2 linked regions of the Drosophila melanogaster genome follow. The protein of the gene in region 2 interacts with the protein of the main gene of each other region in a pairwise test. Each region holds a gene or a part of one and is shown on either strand. Other genes may lie near its edges. The genes, in order: Ugt316A1 and Vamp7.

Region 1 (11,852 bases), on a different chromosome or scaffold from region 2:
GGGAGGTAAGGGAAATGAAGCGAGCAAAGCAACTGGCAGCATGTTGACAGCACATATGCTCCCCACATTCCCCCTTTTCCTGCGCCCATTCCTTTGGCTCCGTACGAAGTTATAGTTATGATGATTGTTGATTTAGAGTTTTTAGTTTTTAGTTTGCCAGATGGGCCGAGGAGGGATTTGTGTAGCATGCAATTAATTTTGCAGCCCCACTTCAAAGGAGCTGAAAGGAGCCGCCCGTGGACAGATGATGACAACAACTCGGCAGCTCCGTCAATGGGGGCCTTTGATGCCGTGCCTCCCCGATCCCGATCCCGATTCCGAACCCCAGTCCCAATCCCCATGGGACCCCTGACAGCAGTGCTAATGGGAGACGGAGATGCGCTCGGGGGAAGCCCCAGTGACGGCCAAAACCAATTCGAACTCTTTCTGTTCCCATGGCCGTAACCCGAGACCTCGGAATGTCAAATTCTTGCGGTGCACTGGAAACAACGTTTTGTACATTCAATCGAAAAAAATCGAAAACGAGCAATGAGGAGTTTTCTAAAGTGCAGAATTTTGATATATTTTTTATGAACTAAAAATTACGAAAAAGAATAATTTCTTACAAAATCAATCACATTGTTATCATTATAATTAAAAATTGTAGCACCTAAAAACTTCTGAAAGCCGTGCTTTATTTTCTTTTTCGACAAATGAAAAGCGGGTGAGAGAAATTGCCTGTAGCGATATTCATGCTATAAATAGATTTATAGTTTCCAGGACTCATACGGACAGATGGACGGACAGACGGACGGACAAACGGACATGACCAGATCGAATCTTTAATTAAGAATTTTCTGTAGCGAAAACGCTTCCTTTTACTCTACGAATGCGGTGGCTTGGAAGCCAAGTAATGTAATAAGTTAAAAACTCAATTCTAGTCAAATGATACCTTATTTTCTGACAGTGCACAACCCCCTTTTCATGTGTTCGTGCTGCGGCCGACTCCACTGGCCGCCTGTCAATTCGAGAAGTCTTCACTTGACTCGGCCGCTCTTCTTGCGGTTGACATTCGCGACTGGCGGTCGAGCCGATGGCCTCCACTCCAGTTGATCCCGATTCCCCATTCCGCCACATCTTTCCCAGTCTTTGGCCCCTGTGTGACAAGTGTGGCTGTGATGGAACACCAAATAGGACTGTCGGGTTATAAAGCTGACAGCGAAACAGAGTTGAAGTTGACCGCCATTGATGGCTCTTGAACTTGGAATCCGATGAGCGCTCACGATGGGGTTGAAATGTGAATCCTTGCCTTTGATAGTTGAAGCATGATAACATATTTAAGCGTGCAAAATTAAAAAGGATAATTGATATTATAGAAACACATTTCAATGGAAGTTTAAATGGGACTATAGGAGATGAGCTCTAGAATTAATCTTAATTCTTCGGAATGATGGGCCATGTCATGCGAGTGTACCATCATGTCACTTGTGGTTTGCATATCAAATTTCCAATGTCTAACCAAAAATATGCGCATCAGGAGTGGCAACCAGACCCCGCGTGCATTTTCCTCCCAGGGTTCTTCAGTAGCTCACCTTTCGCGACATGTGTGCAAAAATACAGTTTTATTAACAGGCCGCCGGAGGAGGAAGCCAAGTGAAAATGCGCCACCCACCAGGCACACATGCATCACACGAATTTCCACTCACCTGCTTTCGTTTTCCCTTTGTCAACGTGTGTGTGTGTGTGTGTGTGTGTAGTGGACTGATGAAAGCAAACAGGTGACTTTGCTGCAACAACTGGCATCCTGCCATCCTGTGCGGAGGATCCGCAGACGCATCCGCGGCAGCATCCTCAGAGACACTTGAGCCGCACTCGGCTTAAATGAAGTGCACACGCCGCCATGCACATCAAAGCCTGCCGACATTAGCCCAGTGCAGTCAACTAATTAGACACGCCCCTTGCCCCCGAGACGCCATATTAAACCATAATTAACGCTAACTGCTCTATGCCAACTAAAAGAATTTTGAATTTGTTCAAGGAGAGTTCAAACAAAATGTGAAATACAACTTGCACGGCATGGGAATTTAAGTAGAATGCAAACAAAGATAGATGCTATATAATTAAGCCATTTAAATTGGGAAAATATTTACAACTATTCAAAGAAATATAGGAAATTCCAATTCTATAGGCTATTTTATATATTTTATTCAACAATTCATACATGGCATTATAAAATATCCTTAATTTAAAGTATTCAGAACAACTAAACCGAATTGAAAACTGCATCTAGTTTTCCCATTGTAAAAAAGGTGACCGCATTATATGTTTTATTATTATAAAAACATTAACAATTTTAATTTCAGCTCGAAATTAACAAACGGACATACATAGATATTTTATCAATACTCAGTTGCTTTTTTGAGCTGAACAATTGCAGTCTAAGCGCTTGTGTTTCTATCAAGCTTTGTCTTTTTAAAAACATACGAAAGGTGTTGTCAGTCTTTGAATTGAAATATTAATTGAATGAAATAGCTGTAAAGGGTTTTCGACATTAATATCAGAACATAAAATCAATTTCAAGTACCCAATTTATTGTTATACTTTGTCAGTACAAATATCCTATGTTCAAAGTGTGAACGTTCGTTTACACACAATACAAATATTCAAGATATATACAATTTATAAATTTTAAAACTTATCGAAATATAAAACCACATGTATTAACAAAAAATCACACTTAACACTAGACGATATTTTTATGTATAGGTTTATATAGGCATGGTGGATCGATTTTGTGACACGGATTATAGATGCGGAATGTACTCGGTGGACAATCGAGGGCATTATAGTTGGCAACTGTGCAACTTTAATGGATCTTTAAGAGATCTAGTTGAAACTAGTAATAGATTGACCAATGATTATTTTCCCGCTCTAAGCTCTGCTTTCCCATCCTCCGGCTGGCTTGTTAGACGATCTTACAGTTTTGCTAGTCCTAACATGAGGATGTGAAACCGAGACGAGCATCCTTTCTATGTGATCCACCGTAAGTTTAGTAATATATTTCGTGTGGAGATATATCATTATGAGAACCTGCGTTCTGCTTCCTCCTGTGATGTCTTTCGATCGCTTGAGTATATCCGCTGCTGATTCACGTACAACTGCAAGGGCGGCACCTGCCCGAGCAGCTGAATCGGAGGTGGGGGAGTTAGGTCCAGTGGCGTAGTGGACGCTGTCGATGGACTCGTCGGTGAATTGGAGCTCATGCTCGAAGAGCTGGACCGCGCCGATAAAGATTGAGCGGATCGCGTTCTTCTGAGCGACTCTGTTCCCTTGGGAGATCTACTACTCCCCTGGTCACCATAGCTGTGCACTCTGCCAACCACTTTCAGGTTGGTTCTGTATGGTGGCTGATCCTGCGCGGCTTGGCTGTGGTAGGATTTTCTTAGTATAAAGCAAATGGCCAGGAAAGGAATGGTTAAAATTCCAAAAAAGCCCACTGCTATTATAAGCAGAACATCCACACCTTCAGCTCTCCAAAAGTTTAAGGTATTGGCGTGCGACTTAAGAAAGTCAGCTCCTCCAGACTCCAATATAAGCTGTATCTTTCGCACAGCTTTTCCAACTGGCGTGGAATCGCGGCTAATCAGTCGTTCTTTGAGTTGACCCAACTTCTCCACATAGCTGGTATTCAGGGTGAGCTGTCTTATGCCGTGGAGCAGCGAATCGTAAGCTAACGAGTCGTAGCCAACGGTCACGGAGACTCCATGTCGCTGCAAGCGCTTAGCCATCACCTCTTGTTCGGCTAGAATGGGTATGGCAAGTACTGGCTTTTGTCCACTAATCGATTCCCAAACGCTCAACTGACCGCAGCTGCTAATAAACATCTTGACCTGCGGATGGTGAAGGATGGCCTGTTGTGGCCACCAGTCAGCAATCATAACGTTCTCTGGCAGCACCTGTTCCGCCGTAAACTCCTCCTTTTCCCACTTCAGCAAGAAGTGAAACTCCTTGAGGTGGCCAAACACATCCAGAATAATGGCCAACTTTTCCTGAGGCAGTTGAGCTGTTTCCACATCGGCGCCCAGGCTAAAATAGATAACCCCACTGGGAGCCGATTCCATGAACGACAGAAGATGCTAAAAACAATTAAAGTAAGTGATTTGAATTTATGAATGAATGCATTTAGACATACTTTTGGCAAATTGTCATCATTTAAGTGGCTTAAGTGCAGGCCGCCCACTTCCACCATGTTGGGCAAATATGCACGGGGATAATGTAGGCCTGGATGCGAGTTAATCAAGGCCAAACTGAGATTCTTTGTCAGATCTCTATAAAGCGGCAGCTCCTTAACGAGCAGTTCGAAGTGATTTGTGTACACGGATTGCTGGGAGATCAAGTGGAAAAAGCTGCAAAATACAAAAAAACGGATCCTGTTAAACTGAATGTAAAGAAAGATTATTTTCCTATTGATAATATAAATTGCTGATGATTAACTTGTCTCGAAATGCTACACAATTATACAAGTTATACTGCAGTAAGATCGTACTTGTAGGTCAAGCGCTCAAAGGTGCTCATAAGCGAGTTTAGAATCCTCTGCCTCGTGTTCATTCTCTCCGTGAAGGGCAGGAAATTGCTGGGATCCAGTGAGGACGATTGCGGATTGCCAAACATGTTATTCAGCCAGGAATTCGCGCCAGTGGGACTGACTGCAACGGTGGGTATGCCATAGTAGAAGGCCAAGCTAAAAGAGAACAGATTTCCATTTGAAATATATACCAAGGAAACCCGTTTTTGGCTTTCGGACTCACCCTAGCAGAGCATCGCTTAAGAACAGGTCCACTATGAGTAAGTCGAACTTTTCGCCGCTGGTCAGGAGCTTCCGGACCTGGGGATCCGACAGCAAAATGTCCACATTGGTGGTGCCAGCGTAGATCAGCCGGGTGAACCTTTCCATCACACTCTGGGCCCGCATTTCCTCGGCCTCAAAACTCATGCCCATGTCGAGCCAGTTTTCCCGCAGCCCTTCGATGCGCAGCTCCCTGATTTTGGGTATTTCCGCATCCACACCTTCCTGCGCGGCATGTGGACTGATCAGAGTTACGGAGTGGTTGCCCGAACTCTCCACCAGCTCCTGAAGCAATCTCCGGCCAAAGAGATAGTGGGATTTCCAGACACTGGGAAAAACTGTCAGTACATTGGCGCCCAGGACGATGCCGCAGAGCAGCGTGCCCAGAAACACTTGCAGGATTTGCATTTTGTGTTTGTGGATTATATCCGCAGTGGCCTTTGCATCCGCTTCTACATCCGCATCCGCATTCGTGTCTGTGTTTCTGCTTTTCCGGTTTTTTTTTTTTTTGCAAAAACACACACAAACACTGGCGCTCAGCCCATACACAACGCACACACACGCACAAGTACGTGGCTTCTATTATTATCTGCTGCTTCTGCTCCCGCTTTTTTCGCCGATTTTCATCATCTTGCCGCCACGATGCGATGGCAAAATATCACAGCTGTTGAAAAATGCACACAAATTGCCAAATAAAATGCAGTGCAAAACGCAACGAAAGTGAAAAGAACAGCAGCAACAACTGCGGCTTTGTCGTCGTCTCCTGCGAATGGCATTCAGAGATGTCCGGCTAGCTGTTCAGACCGGCAAATCTAGCTATTTTGCAGCTGAAAGAAGCATTAGCGATGCCGCGTTAACATCTGAAATTTAAAGCGTGTCTTAATAGCAAGCAGTTGGCGAGTATACAAAACTTGTGCCATGGAAAAAACACTCGTGCTCTGAATACCTTACTTTTAACATGATTAATAATAAAGTTACTGAATTATACATTACATTACATTATTGAATTTCTAGAGATTACTGCATATTTTTATGCGAACATGAACTGCTTGCTTGAAGCCATGGCACCTTCCACTGCTTGCCTGTGGCTTTTCCCGCCTGATCTACGCACGGTCCCACTATTGTGCAAAGCCACCCCCACCCCGCCACATTGCTTCTTCTTCCTTACCATCGCAGTAAACAATTTGAAAATTGCATTTATACGCGACTGAGTTTGCGAATCATTCGGCAAATTGCACAACAAAAGAAGTGCTAAATTGAGAGGTTGCGGCGAGCACAGCAAGTACTTGTGGATGCACAAACTCAGAGCGAAAAAAGACAAACAGAGAGCGGCAAACAAAACAACTTTTTTTCCAATTGGAAGAGTGCCAAAAAAAACGGAGAGCGACATAAAAAGTGAACATTTGAACCGCATTACGAGGCAGAAAAGTGAATTGAACAGCTGGCGGATCAGGTGCGTGGCTAAAACGAATCATTTGCTGTTAAATCGGCCCTAAGCAAACACATAAGGTGAGAATCTGCCCAAAAGCGCAAGCGGCCAAAACAACAACAATAACAAAAGCAAGCCGCCATAAACCGGCAACAGCTGAAAGTTACTGCTTACGTAAGCCGCTCGCAATTACAAATTACAAGCAGTTAGGCAATTGGATCAGCAGCCAAAATGTCGCAGGTATCAAGTAAGAATCAAATCAAAACCACCACTTTATATGGGCTCCCACGAATATCGAATATATTGAGCATTCAAGTGAATACATACACATAGAGGAATCAAAGCAAATAAGTTTTTGATGAATCATTTCTTATGCATATTTTGTGAAAATAAATAACATAAAAGGATATTCATTTCACAGCATCTTCATTATCTAATCAGTTTTGTTGTGTTTTTTTTTCGAAAGCTTTTCAAAAACATAAGACTGATTATGACATTTACTCAACACTTTCTAATATCAATTTATTGTATAAATGAATCTATTCATTTGTTAAAAAAGTTTTAAGAATTAATAAATCTATAGCCATAATTTTTTATTATTTCCATTTTGATTCTCAAAATTCTGTAAACTACATATTTTAAAAATTAAAAGTCAGCTAGAGCTTGTATGTAATATTTCAATTAATACACTTTAATATATAACGTGGCAGCCAAAATAAATGTACTTTCATCAAATTTTAAACAATCTTCAAATAGTAGCAGTATCTAAAATAATGTACTTAATAAATTTGATATTTGAGAGAGCCCAGAGATACGATCATTCTATGCCCACTGACCCAACCAATCCCTAACCCTAGCCCTCATCGATGTGGACAAGCCACTCTTCGATCTCAGCACCTTCGCTGGGCGCTTCCAGTACTTCGCCTGGATGACGGACCCCCGCACCGTAGTCGTATCCAGCGATCGCCTGCTGGAAGCCAAAGCAATGGTTGAACGCTACCGGAAAGGTGACCAATCCCCGCCGCTGAAGCCGGAGGAGGTGCACTACAACATGAAGCTGTACAACTCAGCCTTTCATCCGGATACCGGCGAGCTGCAGAACTTTTGCGGCCGCATGAGTTTTCAGGCAAGTCTCGAGATGGGTTCGGCACGTGGTCGCTGAAAATAGAAGCGTCTGGCGTGGACGCCTTGTGAATGGGTTGCCAAAAACACAAGGAAGGCACGACGATATCAAGACCAATTGCTCGGAATGCCAAATCTTCGAGCATTTTGTTGGTTTTAGCATCAAAGAACCTGTTCCCTTAAGGGCTTATCTAAATCGATGCTTACATATTTAAGCTTTACTAATTGCTTTGTGTATTTGGTCTATCTTCAGGTACCCGGAGGCATGTTGATCACCGGTGGCATGCTGGCCTTCTATCGCACCGTGCCCGCCGTGGTGCTCTGGCAGTTCATCAACCAGTCCTTCAATGCGGTTGTTAACTACACGAATCGCAATGCCAACTCGCCAACTAGCGTTACGCAGCTGGGCGTGGCCTATGTATCCGCCACGACATCGGCTCTGGTAGCTGCTATTGGATGCAAGAACTATTGGTCAAAGAAAGCGACTCCGCTGTTCCAAAGATTTGTGCCCTTCGCAGCTGTGGCGGCAGCCAACTTCGTGAACATTCCGCTGATGCGACAAAATGAGATAATCAATGGCATAGAGGTGAAGAACGACGATGGAGTGGTTGTGGGCCAGAGTAGATTGGCAGCCATCAAAGGAATCGGTGAGGTGGTTGTGTCCAGGATTGCGATGGCGGCGCCCGGAATGCTGGTGCTGCCATTGATAATGGAGAGGCTGGAGAAACTGCCTGCCTACAGGCGCATCAAGTGGATTAATGCTCCATTCCAGACCCTTTTGGTTGGGTGCTTGTAAGTAACTTTATCATCTACGACCACTTGTTCCTTTAACTGATCTTTTTATTCTTTGATGTTTAGCCTTTGCTTCATGGTGCCCACTGCCTGCGCCCTGTTCCCACAGCAGTGTTCCTTGGACACTTCGATTATGCGCACCTTCGAGCCCGAACTTTACGAGGACCTCGAGAAGAAAACTCAGGGCAAAGTGCCCAAGCGTGTCTACTTCAACAAGGGTCTGTAAGATCGGCTCGACAATAATCCTGGAATTGAGGGAAGACAATTGTGTGTTAGTGGTATCCGTTCTCGTCTCATGTTTTATGTAGCATTTACTGTTTTAGATTGCGCAACTTTGCAGTTGCAGTTGTTCCGTGTGTCATGTGTCAATTGTCGTAGTTGCTAAGCTAAAAGGAATCTCAGCTGTTTTAAAATGTAAATCTCGGACCTGCTAGGTTTTTCTAATTTGTTAAATTGTATGATAAGTTATCATATCTAGTGACATCCACATCCAAAAAAATGTATTTGCTCATAAGAACCTTAGCAGGGCTAGCACATAATGGGTATTAATATTCAAATATGTATGTCCTAAATCGTGTTCATGTTATACGTTATTTTAAAACTGTAATAATTGACAATTTAGATAATTTTTCATTCTGAAACTAACTAAACTGAGCTGCTGAGCAGGAGAATGCTTTTACAAGCCACTAATAACTAACAAACCAAACTCGTTGTGTTTCGTATTAGAACTAATTCACTCATTGTTTAAAATAAAAGTGTAAAAACAGTATTCAAGTTTCACGGGTTTTAAAAACGGTTTTATTAGTTATGTTCTTGTATCCTGTATAAGTATATATATCATTATATATAACGCTGCGGGGCTGTCGTTTATCTAGATATTCGGTTTCCTTCATCGTGTTGTAAAGTTTACAAAATGTGCAAAACACAACTAGGTAGCTATAGAATATTCGTCCTTAAACGTTGACAGAGGGGTACTCTTTCTTATTGTTTGACTTTTTTTGTCGATCGGTTGGTTCGCATTGAGTGCTACCGCCGTAGATAGTTTTGCTTGGACTTTCTCAAGGTACAATTTCGTTTATCATTTATAGTTTATATATTTAGTTTTGGGTGTTTTACTTTTTGTTGGCACTGTTGCTTGAATATTTCTTTATCTCGGTGCTAAATATTTATGGAAAAATTCAACACTCAGATGTACAATATGTAAAATGGTTTGTATCTTCTTACGCTAACAAAAACCAAAAGGGAAAAATCTCAGCAGTTATGCCCATGCCACGCCCATTTTGGGGGCATGGACAACAAATGCGCTGCCTGGCAGCAAAATTTCGATTCCATTTCGCATTAGCTTGTAAAAAGTGGATCGCCTTGTGCCTTAAAAATGGAAATTGTCGCATGAATCAGCAAACACTTTTTAATACAATTTAGTTATCTTAATTATTAACTGGCAAAACGTTCGACACACAATTATTTACGGGGTTCTGGGACCTTTTTTTTTGCTTCGATTTCAATATTTATTAACTGTATGCTTAGTTATTTATACTGACTGAGGCTTTCAACAATAAATTGGCATTTCAAACTGGATTAATGCTTAAGTTAGTTTTCCTAGATGTTTGGCTCTTAGCTGGGAAAAGCTCGTTCAAAATCGTAGGCATTTCCTTTGCAAAAATCCTATGGGCTAGAGCAACTAGCTTAGTAAGCTTCCCTTTGACCAGGAACTTCTTATCCGTATTTAGCTGCCTAATCAAAACTCATTCGTTTGCTTTTAACAAAGCCGATTTTTCTAATCAAAACCTGACCCCATTTGAAACTTAAGGTTGCCTTACAATAAAAACTATTTAAAGTGGACATGATTTCTATGGAATGTTGTGCGACTTTAGCACTCGCGTATTTTGTAATACCCAGCTAGCTTGGGTTCTATACCTCCCAAAACATCTCTGACCCCTTCGTTCCTGAGCTTTAAAATTTAGAATATTCTGACTTTCACTTACCACACAACACCATCTCGCCATCCTTATCAAATCGAATCAGTCGAGCAGCTTCGGCTGGAAACAAATCCTAGCCTTGGGCCAAGGAGAGTTGTTCACGATCTTATAAATCCAACTAACCAATCCTATCTGGCATTTCAACCTTTTTCTTCGAATTCTCAACACTCGTTATTAGATATATATATTGATTTTTTTTTTATCGCGCACAGCCTTATTTTTCCAAAAAAGTTTCTGGGACTATTTTAGTTTTTAATTTTCTTGTTGTTTCTTTTACATATAAACTATAAACATTATTCAGATGCAGTTTGGTTCGTATTTTTTGTTTCTTGAAATGTCACCTGATAAAATTTTGTACCAACTTTGCCTGACTGGAAAACAGCTGACACGCATACAACTTTATTTTTTTTTATCCATTACATAACAAATGAATCACTTAATTTATTTCCATCTTGCTGTCCTCCAACTTTAACATGTCGTTTGTAGAAAATAACTTTATGCGATTAATCGGCTTTTAATATAATCTAGACCAATTGTCAAACCTTGCTAAAATCTGCTTAGCTATATGGTCTATGCCGATATTTTAGATCACCCCTAAAAACAATAAAAAATGTTTTGCTTTTGGCAAATGTTCTTTTTTGTGTGGTTATTTGTGTTGTGCAAATGGTTGTATTTATTTTCTTTGTTTTAGTGTTCATTTTTCTTTTGTTTTCGATTTTAAAAATTCTTCGATATTCGGGATTTTAGTTCACTTTACACTTATATGACTTGGCATGGTAGTATATTTATATTAGGGAGCGCCTATCGCGGCCAATCGCTCCGAATATAACAAACTTTACATTTATAAACGATTTCGAGTTTAGTAAAATTTAAAACTAAAACTAAAACTATATACCTAGAAAACTGCTCTCAGTTTAATTGTTTATTTTCGCTTCGGCTTCAATATATTTATTCTCTTGACTTGGCTTAGGAGTTAGATACAAACACTGCGTACACTGCGTATATATAAATATATTTTATATATTTTATTTCTCATTCTCATTTTTGTATAGTTGCGAAGTTGGTTTCCGTGTGGATAACGTTGGATTTTGTCTGCACTTCACTTAAAAGTGTATTAAACATTAAGTTATTTACGTGGTATTAATCAATATGTGTACGTTGGGCATTTCTCCAAAACTTTGTACATTTATTAAAGTTTGAATTCGTACCCCTATTTAACAAGCGGCTCATATGTATGTGTGGTTTATCCGGGTGTTTTGCGCGAGAACCAAGTTAGGAAAAGCTTCGCCATTCAGGCCGCATCCTCATCGTACTCTCCCCTGGTTATGATGTCTTCTTCGGCCATCTCCTGATCCCGATGCTGCACCATTTCCACCACGGAAACCGCCTCCGCGGTGGTCGTGGTCGATGTGGACGAGCTGGTGGTGCTGGCCGGAGACATGTTGTCCGGGTTAACCGCCAGGCACATGGGCAACGGCGATGTGGCGGCGGCTGCAAATGGGACCTCCTGACTTGGTGGTAGCACGAAACTCTTACCGCCACTCTGTTCTCATTTAAGACCCGTGTCCGACGGGGTCCAGCGATCGAACTCGATGCCGGAGTCTGGCGAGACCCCGGTAGCATTCGCCAGATGGGTGGCCATAAAGCCCGTGGTCTGCATGCAATTGCAGTCCGGCGCAATGCAGCTGCACGAGAACCTGGAGCC
Region 2 (11,736 bases):
GGGCAAATAGTACCGCCCATTGCTCCCATATTCGACGACACAGCGGTACAAGCGAAGGAGCAGATCAGCCAAGAACACGGTGGCTACAATGCGAATAGAGGTGTCTGCAACGAATCACGACCGTAAAGATAATTTATGGCGTCCATCGGTCATCACTCACCAATATAATCTCCTATCATCTTTCGAAAATAAAAATATTTTCTGCCTTTTTCCGCGCGAACCGCGTTCCCCGCTTCGACAACGTTGCTAGCGATTGCCATTTCGTCTGCATACATATGTACGTCTCAAGGGTTGCCAGATCGATTTGGAGATCTCGCGAAAACTTCGCTGGAATTTCAAATGCCGTTAAATTATATATAAATTTGTTTATTGGGCTTGCATAGGTATACATAACTGAATTTGGGCTCCTAAATATTAATTACATTGCGTGCACATACAAATGCACATATTTATGTATGACGGAAGCAATGAAGGAACTACATTGTTATATCTTTTTATTATTATTTACTTTTGTGTTTGTTTATCAGGTATCAGATAAGATTTTATCAATATAGCCTCAAAGATTCGTTAATCAATTTGTATTCGAAATAAAACTTTAGGTAACAATGTCCGGTTCCGACTATCAGATACATATACAGACATGAAATCTGCTGACTGTAAAGCTCTCCGCCCTCTGGAACAAATATTCGTGAGAGCCGGAGCCAGCTCTAGACTCCTCCCAAAAACGCATATTGTTATTCTAGTGTCTTTGGTAAGAGGGTATACTAGATTCGTTGAAAAGTAAGTAACAGGTAGAAGGAAGCGTTCCCGGCCATGTAAAGTATATATATTCTTAATCAAGATCAAAATAATAAAAAATAACAAAGATAATTAAACATTAACAATGGTTAACCAATTGGTGGTTAATTAACCATCAACAATGGTTAACCATTACGCTCTTACTCTGCAACTTAAATACTGATAGCTACACCCTAAACGAATTATAAGATTTGATAAATGATCTTATTTAAGCATGCTTATTGTGTTCTAATATTAAATTCTATAGAAACCTTATCCTGTAAAAGGCTCAAAAAAGTGCAATCGTGCCATATTTGTGGCCAGAATAAATGAGAATTCTAAGTCTTTTAAAATAAGTAATTTTAAATCGAATATTTCGGCAGCATATGCGCATATTGAAACTACGTATATTGTATCTTGCGTGTGTACATAGTTTAAGTTATTACCTGCGGTTTTTTCTGTCAAAACGAATGGATCCAGGCTCAAAGATCTCAGGAGCAAAAGCTTGGGAACGCTATTAATTTAAATTTACTTTAATGGAAAATTCTTTGTCCGGGGAGAAGAATCTCAACTGGATGAACTGATGCTCTCGTCAATACTGAAACGCTATCGGTGGGATGCCCCTATTTAAGTTGCGGAGATCATTTAATTTAATAAGCAAATGCAAATAATCATAAGACCGTATAACATAATTTGTAAAACACGTTATGCAGTGTGACCGTGCGATAAAGCCAGACTTATCGGCTCCATTAAATATCGATGCGTCGATGTACCGTCCTTCCACCTCTAATTTTATAACTGCATCGAAGCGTCAGCAATTGTTGTTATTTGTAATGCAAAAATCGAGCTAATTCCACGGTATTGTGATGTTTTTATTGTGTTCGGCAAAAGCAATTGAAAATCGATAATAACTTAAGCCGCTTACCACAAAATGTAAATCTGCAGTTGCGCTATCAACTCGAGGCGGATCTAATTGGATAAACAAAGCAAGTACTTTGATATAACAATTTGCATATTACACATATATACGTATGTTACTCATAAACAGAGTTATTGTTCAGATTGATAGGCTCGCAATTGGATAGTAGTAGTTTCTAAATCGATATGTACATTTCTCAGAATCCGAGAGCACGTCATCATTGACGGATCGTCGGCTCATTCCCCGATAAGCAAAACAAAGCAGTAGCCTGAGGAGCTGAACAACCGCGCCCTTAGCAAAGGAGAATCTGTGGCACCATGCCGATACTATATAGTGTGATATCGCGGGGCACCACAGTGCTGGCGAAGTTTGCGGAGTGCGTCGGCAACTTTGCCGAAGTGACGGAGCACATAATCGGACGGATCGGGGTGCATAACCACAAGATGACCTACACACACGGAGACTACCTGATCCACTACACCTGCGAGAACAAACTGGTCTACATGTGCATCACCGACAACGTGGGTGAACGAACCACTGGCCCAATTAGCCACCTCAGTTGCTTATTGCCCAATCGATAACGTATCGTTTCTTTGTAGGAGTTCGAACGGTCGCGGGCCTTCCTCTTCTTGGCGGATATCAAGCAGAAGTTTATCCAGACTTACGGCCTACAGGTGGCCACCGCCATCGCCTACTCCATGAACACCGAGTTCTCCAAGATCCTGGCCCAGCAGATGGTCTATTTCAGTCAGTCCCGGGAGGTGGACACCATTTCGCGAGTACATGGTCAGATTGACGAGCTTAAAGACATTATGGTTAAGAATATTGGTATGAAGGAAGGAAAATCCGTATGTTCTTTTTGTTTACTATTCCCTTTTCATCCCATTTGCAGACAGCTTGCGGGATCGCGGCGAGAAACTAGAGCTGCTCGTCAACAAGACCGAAAACTTGAGCAATAATGTAAGGTGATGCCAAGCAGAGACTTTTAAATGTGTTTTTCATTTGATCTCTCTTACAGTCCGTTGCATTCCGTAAGGCCTCCCGAAATTTGGCTCGTCAAATGTTTTGGAAGAACATCCGCGTCTACGTGGTGGTGGGTCTGGTGATAACCTTCATCGTTTACGTGATTGTGAGCATGGCCTGTGGTGGCCTCGCTTGGCAGTCCTGTGTTTAGGACAAGCTTTAAAGTTGTTTATATTGTTATAGGCTCATAACACATGTATATTTGCATATAAAACTCTACAGTACTCTCATCTATGTTCTATGTAATAAACTTCAATGTATACCGGATAAAGTGTTAGAAGAGATAATGGAATATTCACTTGTCCTCCACATACACGACGTCGTTGGCCTTCACCTTTCCCGGCAGCCGAAGTCCCATATGAACGCCCAGAGCCGGCGAACTGTAGTTGAACAAGCGATAGCTGTGGATTCCAGATATGAGGGTCGGGTTTTGTAAGTCGTACTTCTCAGATATTTCCATGGGTAGTGACTCACCTTCTGAGCGTTTTGAGAGGCTCTCCTTCGGAACTCCTCTCTGCGGTCTTCGCATTAATGTTGGTAAAAATACAGCGAGTGCATGGCGCCACCGTACGGAAAACAGCATCTTCGCCTATACGCACCCACTGCCAATTGTCCTCGGCATAGGGCTCATCAACATCCATTTTCAGTTCGAAGTTACCTCGGAACTGCAGTGCATCCACCGGATTCTTTAACCGAGTATTAAGATCGGCGACCGACGAAAGGTTCATCAGCATAAAGCTGGTGGCATCGTTAAAAGTGCCCTATGGAAAGAATTCAAATCAAGGGTGATCTGGGTCCTAACACTTCGAATTGCGCATCAGGAACATACCGAGTCCTCCTGTCTAATGAATGGCATGGACTTTAGGCGGGGATTGGTGCATCTCACTGGTTTCGGATAGGGATAGTGAACTAGCTTGAGGCCGCTCTCCTTCTTCAGGATGGCCTGGGAGAACCACGTGTTGATCCGATCTCCGCAGGGCATCACGTCTATGGAAACGCCCCAAACGGAAGTTTTCACATCCTTGCCAGGACCGTCCAGCTTCTCGAAGTCCAGCTCCAGGTCTGGCATGTCCTGGGCGCTGAACACAAGCTTGCTGGGCGACACCTTCTTCGACTTGATCTGGGTCATAAGCGGATACACCCGAGCCGTGATCATTTCGTTCTTTTCATTGACCACCATCAAGGTGCGATCCCTTATTCCCTCAAAGGACATGCTCAGTACATCGCAGTCGTACTCCACTCCGGGCTTCGAGATGTCCATAGGGGCACAGGACTTGACCGGAAAAAAGTGTATCCTCTCCACGGTGCCCACGCGTCGCCACTTTTGGGGAACCACATCGCGGGTCAGATGGCGGTACAGTAGGAAGCTAGCCCCGCCCACCGCCACCAGGCCCACGCCCACGGCCGCCAGGGTCTTGGGACTGAGGTCAAAGGTCGAGTTATTTCCGCCGGCTGCAGGATAATCCACGTTACTTAAGGATCTCCCAGCTAATCCCGGTTTTTCACTCACTTGCCATCTCCTTTGCGCTGTAACACTTGTTGCTTTCTCTGAGTCAAAAGCTCCACTGATTAGGTTTATTGGACAAAAAGCTCTCCTTTGATGAAGATCTCTTACCAAGGCTGGACAACACATGCATCTATGTATATCAGCGGTCATTTTGACAGTAGCAACTGATGATAAGGAATGTAACCTGGTTCTTAGTGCTATTTTTCAGTGATAGGGTAGACTTAATACATTTATTTTTAAATTACCATCCCCGCTCCCTCCAGGTTAATCGATAACTGTTATCGGGCATGCAGCCGGCGAATTCGTGCTCCTTTGTTTACATAACAATTGCAAGAAGCCTGTTGCCTTTTAAGCGGAAAAAGAAAAAAATTTAAGGTTCTTTGTTCTATCAGACTTCTATCGGCAGACTTCGGGAATCAGTGTCATGGAATCGAGGGACCGGAAAACTTCGAATGAGGACGACTCGTCGGAAATCTCCGAATTGGATGTGGGCAGTGATAGGTTTAATCCTCTGCGAGCGTTATACGAACCCAATTTTAGGGTGACCGATGCTGTTCCAAAGGTCATCTACCAGAATCTGGCTGCCTTCGAGAGTGCACTTAAAAAATTCGGCATCTGGCAGCTGAACAAGCGCCAAAAGCCGGGATCCGCAGAAGGAGGAGATCAGGGGACATCGAAAAAGGCTTCCACTTCCGAGGCTGTAGATATTCTACCTCCTGAGCGACGTTTTGAGCCGCACCAGATGCCTACCACTAGTAGCAGAAAGAAGCATCATCGAAATATTTTCACCTACATGGAGGCAGCTGTCGGTCCATTGGAACTCCTAACGAAGTGTATATCCCCTGCTAGCCACAATGAATCCAACGAAAGGAGAAGAGTTCGGGTGGTGATTCGCAAACACGGATCGGTGGGCGGCAGTGTCGAGGGTGAACTGTTGGCCTTTGACAAGCAGTGGAACCTCCTACTGAGGAATGTTACCGAAACCTGGAAGCGACGAAAGTACAATTACGGAGAGCAAAACATATGCGACACACCTGTTGATTGCACAGGCCGCCTCAAGGAGTTGGGTATCACTCTTCCCAGGACTGTAGTCAAAAATCTAAACCGAAAAAACGTGGAGATTCGGCGAGAGCTCCCACAGATTTTAATACGCGGCGAGAATGTGGTTCTAGTTAGTTTAATACCAACAAAATAGTGTATAGCTTATTAAAAGTCACCTCAGATAAAAATCGCGTAGGGTTCTACTTAAAAAACTACAGCAGTCTCTATTAAAGTAGCTAAGAATATATGTAAATTATTGATATATATAATTAAGTTACGCTACAATGTATACAAATTAAGTTATATGATATATTTCCATTTAAGGTTTGAAATCGTTTTACTTTTAAAGAAATTTAAACTACTATTTTATATTTTTCGAAACGTACTTAACTAACGAATCTGTTCAATTCCTCTGGATCATCGTCCTCATATGATTCCATTTCTTCGCTTTGGAGGTGAACCAGTTTATGAAGCTTCAGCAACTCCAGCGTCTTGAATCTCCGCCAGCAAAAGTCGCAGGAGACCTGCCGCGCACTGTTACCGTCGTGAATTTTCCGGATGTGACTCTTCAAGGTGCTATTCTCTCGAAATTGCCGGCTGCAGTGCGGACAACATAGTTTCGGTTGGTCGTGAGTTCGCCGATGAACGGCCAGGGCGGAGCTGGTCTTCGAGCTGTGCCCGCACAGCTCGCAGATATAGTTCCTTTGCCCCGCGTGCATGGCCTGGTGCTGTTGGAAGTCCCACTTGGAAGGTGCATTGTAATCGCATCTGCTGCATTGCCACTCCGGCCGCTTAAAGTGGTACCGTGCCTGGTGTTGTTCTAGCTTGGAGGCGAGTGGAAAGCTCTGGTGGCACACATGACAAACATTCGGATTGGGTCCCCCATGGACGCGGAATTTGTGCAGCCGTAGCAGGCGCTCGTTAAGAAACCGTCGGTCGCACTCCTCGCAAATGGTCACTGATATGTGGTTCGTGGGCATGAATTTCAGCAAACTGTGGTAGTACTTTGGATAGCGACAGCGGAAGTCGGAGCTGCTCAACTGCATTACATACTGTCGCTCAAACCAGACTTGCAGGAAACGGGCACTGGCATTGACCACCTTTGGGTCCAACTGGAAGTGAAATCGATGGAACAGGGCCTCTGCCACTTTTTGGGAACTATCCATGCGATCTTTTTTATTGATCCCGTGCTCAGTTATCCAGAAGAATTTGTGTCTCCGCAGTTGCTGTATGAAGTACTGAATAACTCCGGGGCTGGTGCGCTGCAGGCTGTAGAAGGCTTTGTGGGGTTGGTTCGAGATGTAGTCCTGTGGAAATCAAAGAATCGAAGTCAAGCAAGTGTCATTAATAACCAAGGCTGCTTACATGGTGGCTATTGCTTGCGAGCTCATCATGGCCCTGCTCTTTCTCTGGTGAAAAGTTTGGTTCCACCTCCTCTTCCATAAATTCTACATTTTTGAAAGATTCCTGTACCTCCGCCAACTTGGATTCCTGAGCAATAGACGCCGCCAAGAGATTGGTCATCTCCACCTGAACCTCGTCCTGGATCTCATCCTCATCTGCATTAAATCCACTTTCGTTTCCATGCCTTTGAACCAGGTGCTTCATGAATTCCTTCCATTTGTCACCGCCAAAAGTGTCCACATTACAAAGGCAGCATTTGATTAAAATTGAGGAGTCACTTCTCATGTATACGCGTGCACTTTCTACATAATGCTTCTTATTTGAGTGTTTTGGTATCATGTCCTTAGAATCTGCATGCAATTTATTCCGAAAACTACACATTTTATGAACTAAGTATCGTTTTCAGGTACGATTTGTTTTCCGATAAGTATTCTCATTTACAAGCGCAAGTGTTGGAAAATTCGACTTGGGCCATAGACTTATCGATAGGTAGTTGCACGTCTTATTCGAATTCAAATGGCAGACGACACTCGGCCAAAAAGCAATTTTTGTTTTCGCTTTGTTTTGCTCTTCTTTTGTGTGTGAACTCAAAGGACGGGCTTTGTTGCCTTACGCACAAAAAGTGCATATTGTTGGCCTGACAAAGCGGTAAAAACTTGCGCTTTCATTCATTAAAACTGGGACTGTTGCTGCTTGGAGCGTCGCTGCTGCTTTCGGAACTGCTGTTGGCGCAGTCGCGATCCCGAGCTCAGTCGAAAACACGTTACGCGCCTGTGCAGAGCGTTTTTGCTCTATCCAAACGTTTCCGATCCCATCCGATCCAATCCGATACGATACGATCCGATCCGATCCCATACGATACAAAGCCAGCGGATTCGAAAGTTTTACACCGCGTGCAGCAGAAGCAGCAACAACAGCAGCAGCAAAAAAAGCAACAGCAATAACAATTCGTATGTTTCGTTTGTGTGTTGAAGATTTAATTTTTTATGCAAAGCAAACGACGACAGACTTTTCGGCTGGTCAACAATTTCTATTTTAATTGGCAGTAGCGCCCAGCAATTTACCATAAGCGAATGGAAAGCTGACAAAAGTCACCGACTCCGGTTTATTGTGCATAATCAAGCCAATCAATGTGTTTTCTTTCGTCCACATTATTTGCCATTTTTGCCATTTGCGATTAGCCACTCGCAGATCACGCAGTGGCCAGAATTTGGGTTCTTTGCTCGGAGCGCCAGCGACCCAATTTGTTAACTATCGCCATTATGGCTTAATTGCTAGAAATGAATAAGTTTTTAACGAACTGCGTGCGCCGCTTTTGTGCGTGTCGCTGTTTCCTTTTTCGCGCAGTGTACGCAAATTGGCAAGCGCCGTTAATTAGAAATTTTCTTTGTCAAGGTTGCGAATCCCCCATCGGATTCCCACTTGGACTGCGACTCCGGCTCAAGTGCACGTTCGTTTGTGTTGGCTGTCAATTAGCGTGTTATTCAACCGCGCTCGCAAATAGATCATTAAAGTAAAGCACTCGACGGGCTAATTGTAATTGTAACGATGTGCAAACACCGCCTGCGCAGCTGGCAGTGGAGATATGGCGACTTCTATGGAGTTCTGTTCTGCAGCTCTGCATTCTGATCTCCCAGTAAATTAGCACATCGATTAATTGGCCAAAAACTGGATTCCTTTGCTAGATGGTAAAAACAGGTCGACACAGAAGGAGCTATCAAAATATACATATCAGTTCGAATTAAACTACATTAATTTTACTCGACATTCTAATTATTCCATGTTCTAAAACATTACGATCTCTTAATGATAAAGTCGGATAAATTGGATAACGTGCACTTGTAATACTGAAGTATTTTATTCGTTTATTTGCTTACTTAATATTCTAGTTACATAAACGCGATTCTCCAACTGTTAGAACCACTAAGTGGCGCATTTTAAAGACGCGAACATGATTTGAGCCTCTGAGATTTTTGTGGATAACTTCCAAATCGATGACCTATATCTGCTGGATTTTTTCTCTGTGCCGAGTTACCAGTTTTCCAGGCTTCTGATGACCGGGCAGCATGTATATGGGGCATTCATTCCGTTTTGGGGCCAGGCCACTCCCCGCGCGCACAGGTTAAACAGCTTTTCCCCCTCCACTCGCTTCGGTTCGGTGTGGTTTGGTTCGGCTCGGATTCGAATCCACTCGGCCACATCCCGCTGCCACTCCCCCGAGATTTTCACGGCCACCGGGGGGAAATGGGTCGGTCGCCTTCGTGCGGAAGCCCTCGCATTAGGGCATCCACATCCACACCCACACCCACATCCACAGAATCGTAATCGTGTAAATGGCAAATACACTTTGCTCCCTCTATCGGCGAAATAATCAAATAGCACCAGGTCATAAAGTTTCGGCGTCGGACGTAGTTATCACGCCGATATGGCTTCGTGTGTTGATATCATTCGGGGAACTCTAGTGATTATGTTTATGCGACCTCTAATATAGGAAGCCCCGAATATGTTCAAAATCAAAGATCGGGTTTCAATTGCAGTAAATACACTTGTGTGATTGTTTTATTTTAAAAATACTCTCTGTATCATGAGGGAAATACCCAATAGAAGCTTTACTGTATTGAAAATCCCCTACCTAATGACTTTTATCTTTACTGACGTACTTGAGAATAGTCTTTGGAAAACCACGGAAAGTCAACTTGAGATAAGTGCTTTCAAATTTATAAATTTACGTCATTTATTCCTATTTTTTAAATCATTAACATTTACTATCTAGTTTATGAGGACAATTGTCAAAAATTGCTCGTGACAATTACAATTGTAAAAATAGCATACTTTAAGAATCCGACAAGACTTGATAAATAGGTTTAACCAATTAAATCAATTTTATACAATATTGATGTTAGTTTTGATGACAGTGAACTTTATATTCTTTTTTGAAAGCAACTTGAAAATAGTAAGTTTCTCTTTATAACAGAGTATGAAGTAACCAATTGGATGCTATATTTTAAGATATGATAATATATAATATCAGCTTAAATACTCAAATAATAATAATAATAATTAATTCCTATACCTTTCGTTAATATTCAGTTCGAAAGCCAGTTGAAAATCGCTTGTTATTGGGGACGAATAATAACTTTTCTATAAATAAGCCGTAATAGCCGCTGTCGTAAAGTAATCTTCTACTTATTGAACAACCGAGTAAATAAGGTAAATAGGTCTGGCTAAAGCAATTGTCCCGCAAAGCTGACCCATTGGGCTGAGCAAATAAACAAAACAGTGAGTCAACTCCAAGTTGTTGCCGTTTGCCGAGCAAATAAACAGATAACCGGGCTCTTACCGCATTCACGATCAGAGCAGATCATGCGCTCGCAGCACGTGTAAACTACGTAAATATTCACGGGCGCAATTAATGCCACTTCGGTGGATTGGATTTTCTTCCATTTCGCACGTCGGAAGTGTCCACTTTTGGGGCGCCCAAATACTCCAGTTAGTCCAGTTCAGATGGTGCATAATCGGCCAGCAATTAAGTAATGTACACACATCACCTTCGTTTTCCGGATGGTGCTATTCCGTGGGGGCATGTTATGGCGCGCACCTTTCACGTAGGGCGCCTGCAGGGCAATTCGCTCTGGGCCACGGCTATTAAGCTCTCCAGGTAAATATCTGGCACTCGGAATTCATATTTATTTTGCCAGCCATATAACTAACTATATGCTATATGTGTGCCAGCTACATGCGCACGAGCAGAGCGATAACCGCCGACGAGCGACGACGATGTTGCGACTACTCCAGGCGTTCGAAGTTGCTCGTTCAGGTTTCAGTATTCAGTTACGTTTTGGCGTTTTACGGTAACGCAGCGGACAGTTAGCCTCCAATTATAGGTGCGTCCATATCTCCCGACATTCCAGCTTGTGAGTGTGTGCCAAAATAATAGAGCGTAATGCCATCATATTTGCGAGTAAAACCGAGAAACCTGCAAACGTGTAAATATCGTCTGAGCGCCTTATGATCGCTCATACGCCGCGTTGGCCCCCTACAAAAAAAAAAAAAAAAAACAAAGCCGCTTACGCCCGACGTTCGTGACTTTGACATTTGTGGCCGCTGGCCGCTAAATTGGCCATCTATAACGAATTGTCGCGCATCTGAAACACGTTCTACAATATGTACACACACATTTTATATATACGGGCCCTCCTAATCGAGGGAACTCATTCCCCGACGTGCCCCTGCTTTCACGGCATAACCATCGCCTCCTCATAACCATAAATCCCATAAAATGTGTATGAAAATATTTACAACTAATTATGCGGCCAGGCGGCAAAACACTCTCCGCCGCAGATCCATTGAGGTGCCTTGAACTCGGGCTCCGACTTATGGTTTTATTTTTTTTTTTTTTCGTTCATGGCAGCCGATTTCACTTTCTTTTCGCGCTCTCTAGGGCCGCTAATCACAATGGGATTGGATAATACTCCAAGTGGCCAGCTCCCAAGTACCCAAGTTCCCAGTTGCCCAGTCGCCATTGCAGCCTTATCGCCTCGGATTATGCTGGCCCGCTTATCAGCCCTATTTTGGCAATGTCTTTGATAAGATTGCCGCGCCGCCTTGGCTTCCTTTCGACTGATTTGTATGTGCCCGCTGCGCCGTAGCTCTTGGCCAAGTCAGTCCGCAGCATAAGAGATGTTCCCAAGAGATGTAAACAGATTGCAATTGTACTAGTTTCCAGTTCACACAGTGCTGACCGAGTTTGTCTGCAACCACAATTCGCTCCACAGGGCCCTATGTTCGAAGGTAGATCCGAAAAAGGTTCAGGTGGGGGGGCTGGGAATCTGATTTGATCCGCCGAGTGATAGACGCACCCAACTCACGCAGCTCCAAATCGAATTTCTAAGGCAAACGCTCTGTTATGGCCCCGGGTTTTATCTCAGCGACTCAATTCACACCCTGAATGCGAGAAGATTCAAAGAATTCGGTTGAAATGGCAAATAGGAAAGTGGCCATTCCCTCGCATTGTCGGGAATTTGTTAATATCTTGCTCAGCGAACGATTTTGCTCCCAGATGAAC

Evidence for each region.
Region 1: the proteins of Vamp7 (region 2) and Ugt316A1 interact in a two-hybrid assay, tested with the Drosophila melanogaster proteins (2 studies listed by BioGRID).

What each region holds. Positions count from the first base shown.
Region 1 is NT_037436.4:19,057,216-19,069,067, forward strand, and holds Ugt316A1 (UDP-glycosyltransferase family 316 member A1), read right to left. Parts: upstream 5,602-11,852; 5' UTR 5,234-5,601; coding exon 4,788-5,233; intron 4,721-4,787; coding exon 4,526-4,720; intron 4,386-4,525; coding exon 4,172-4,385; intron 4,116-4,171; coding exon 3,060-4,115; 3' UTR 2,185-3,059; downstream 1-2,184. Other genes in the region: Sfxn2 (sideroflexin 2), read left to right, coding at 6,486-6,501, 7,112-7,380, 7,630-8,168, 8,235-8,394; Mkp3 (Mitogen-activated protein kinase phosphatase 3), read right to left, coding at 11,697-11,852.
Region 2 is NT_033778.4:9,832,328-9,844,063, reverse strand, and holds Vamp7 (Vesicle-associated membrane protein 7), read left to right. Parts: upstream 1-1,561; 5' UTR 1,562-1,763; intron 1,764-1,838; exon of another isoform or gene 1,839-1,896; 5' UTR 1,897-2,013; coding exon 2,014-2,217; intron 2,218-2,295; coding exon 2,296-2,524; intron 2,525-2,588; coding exon 2,589-2,656; intron 2,657-2,714; coding exon 2,715-2,870; 3' UTR 2,871-2,984; downstream 2,985-11,736. Other genes in the region: sting, read right to left, coding at 1-104, 161-260; Marc (mitochondrial amidoxime reducing component), read right to left, coding at 3,015-3,120, 3,194-3,480, 3,549-4,171, 4,230-4,236; Lsm11, read left to right, coding at 4,651-5,421; CG1663 (uncharacterized protein), read right to left, coding at 5,654-6,574, 6,633-6,875.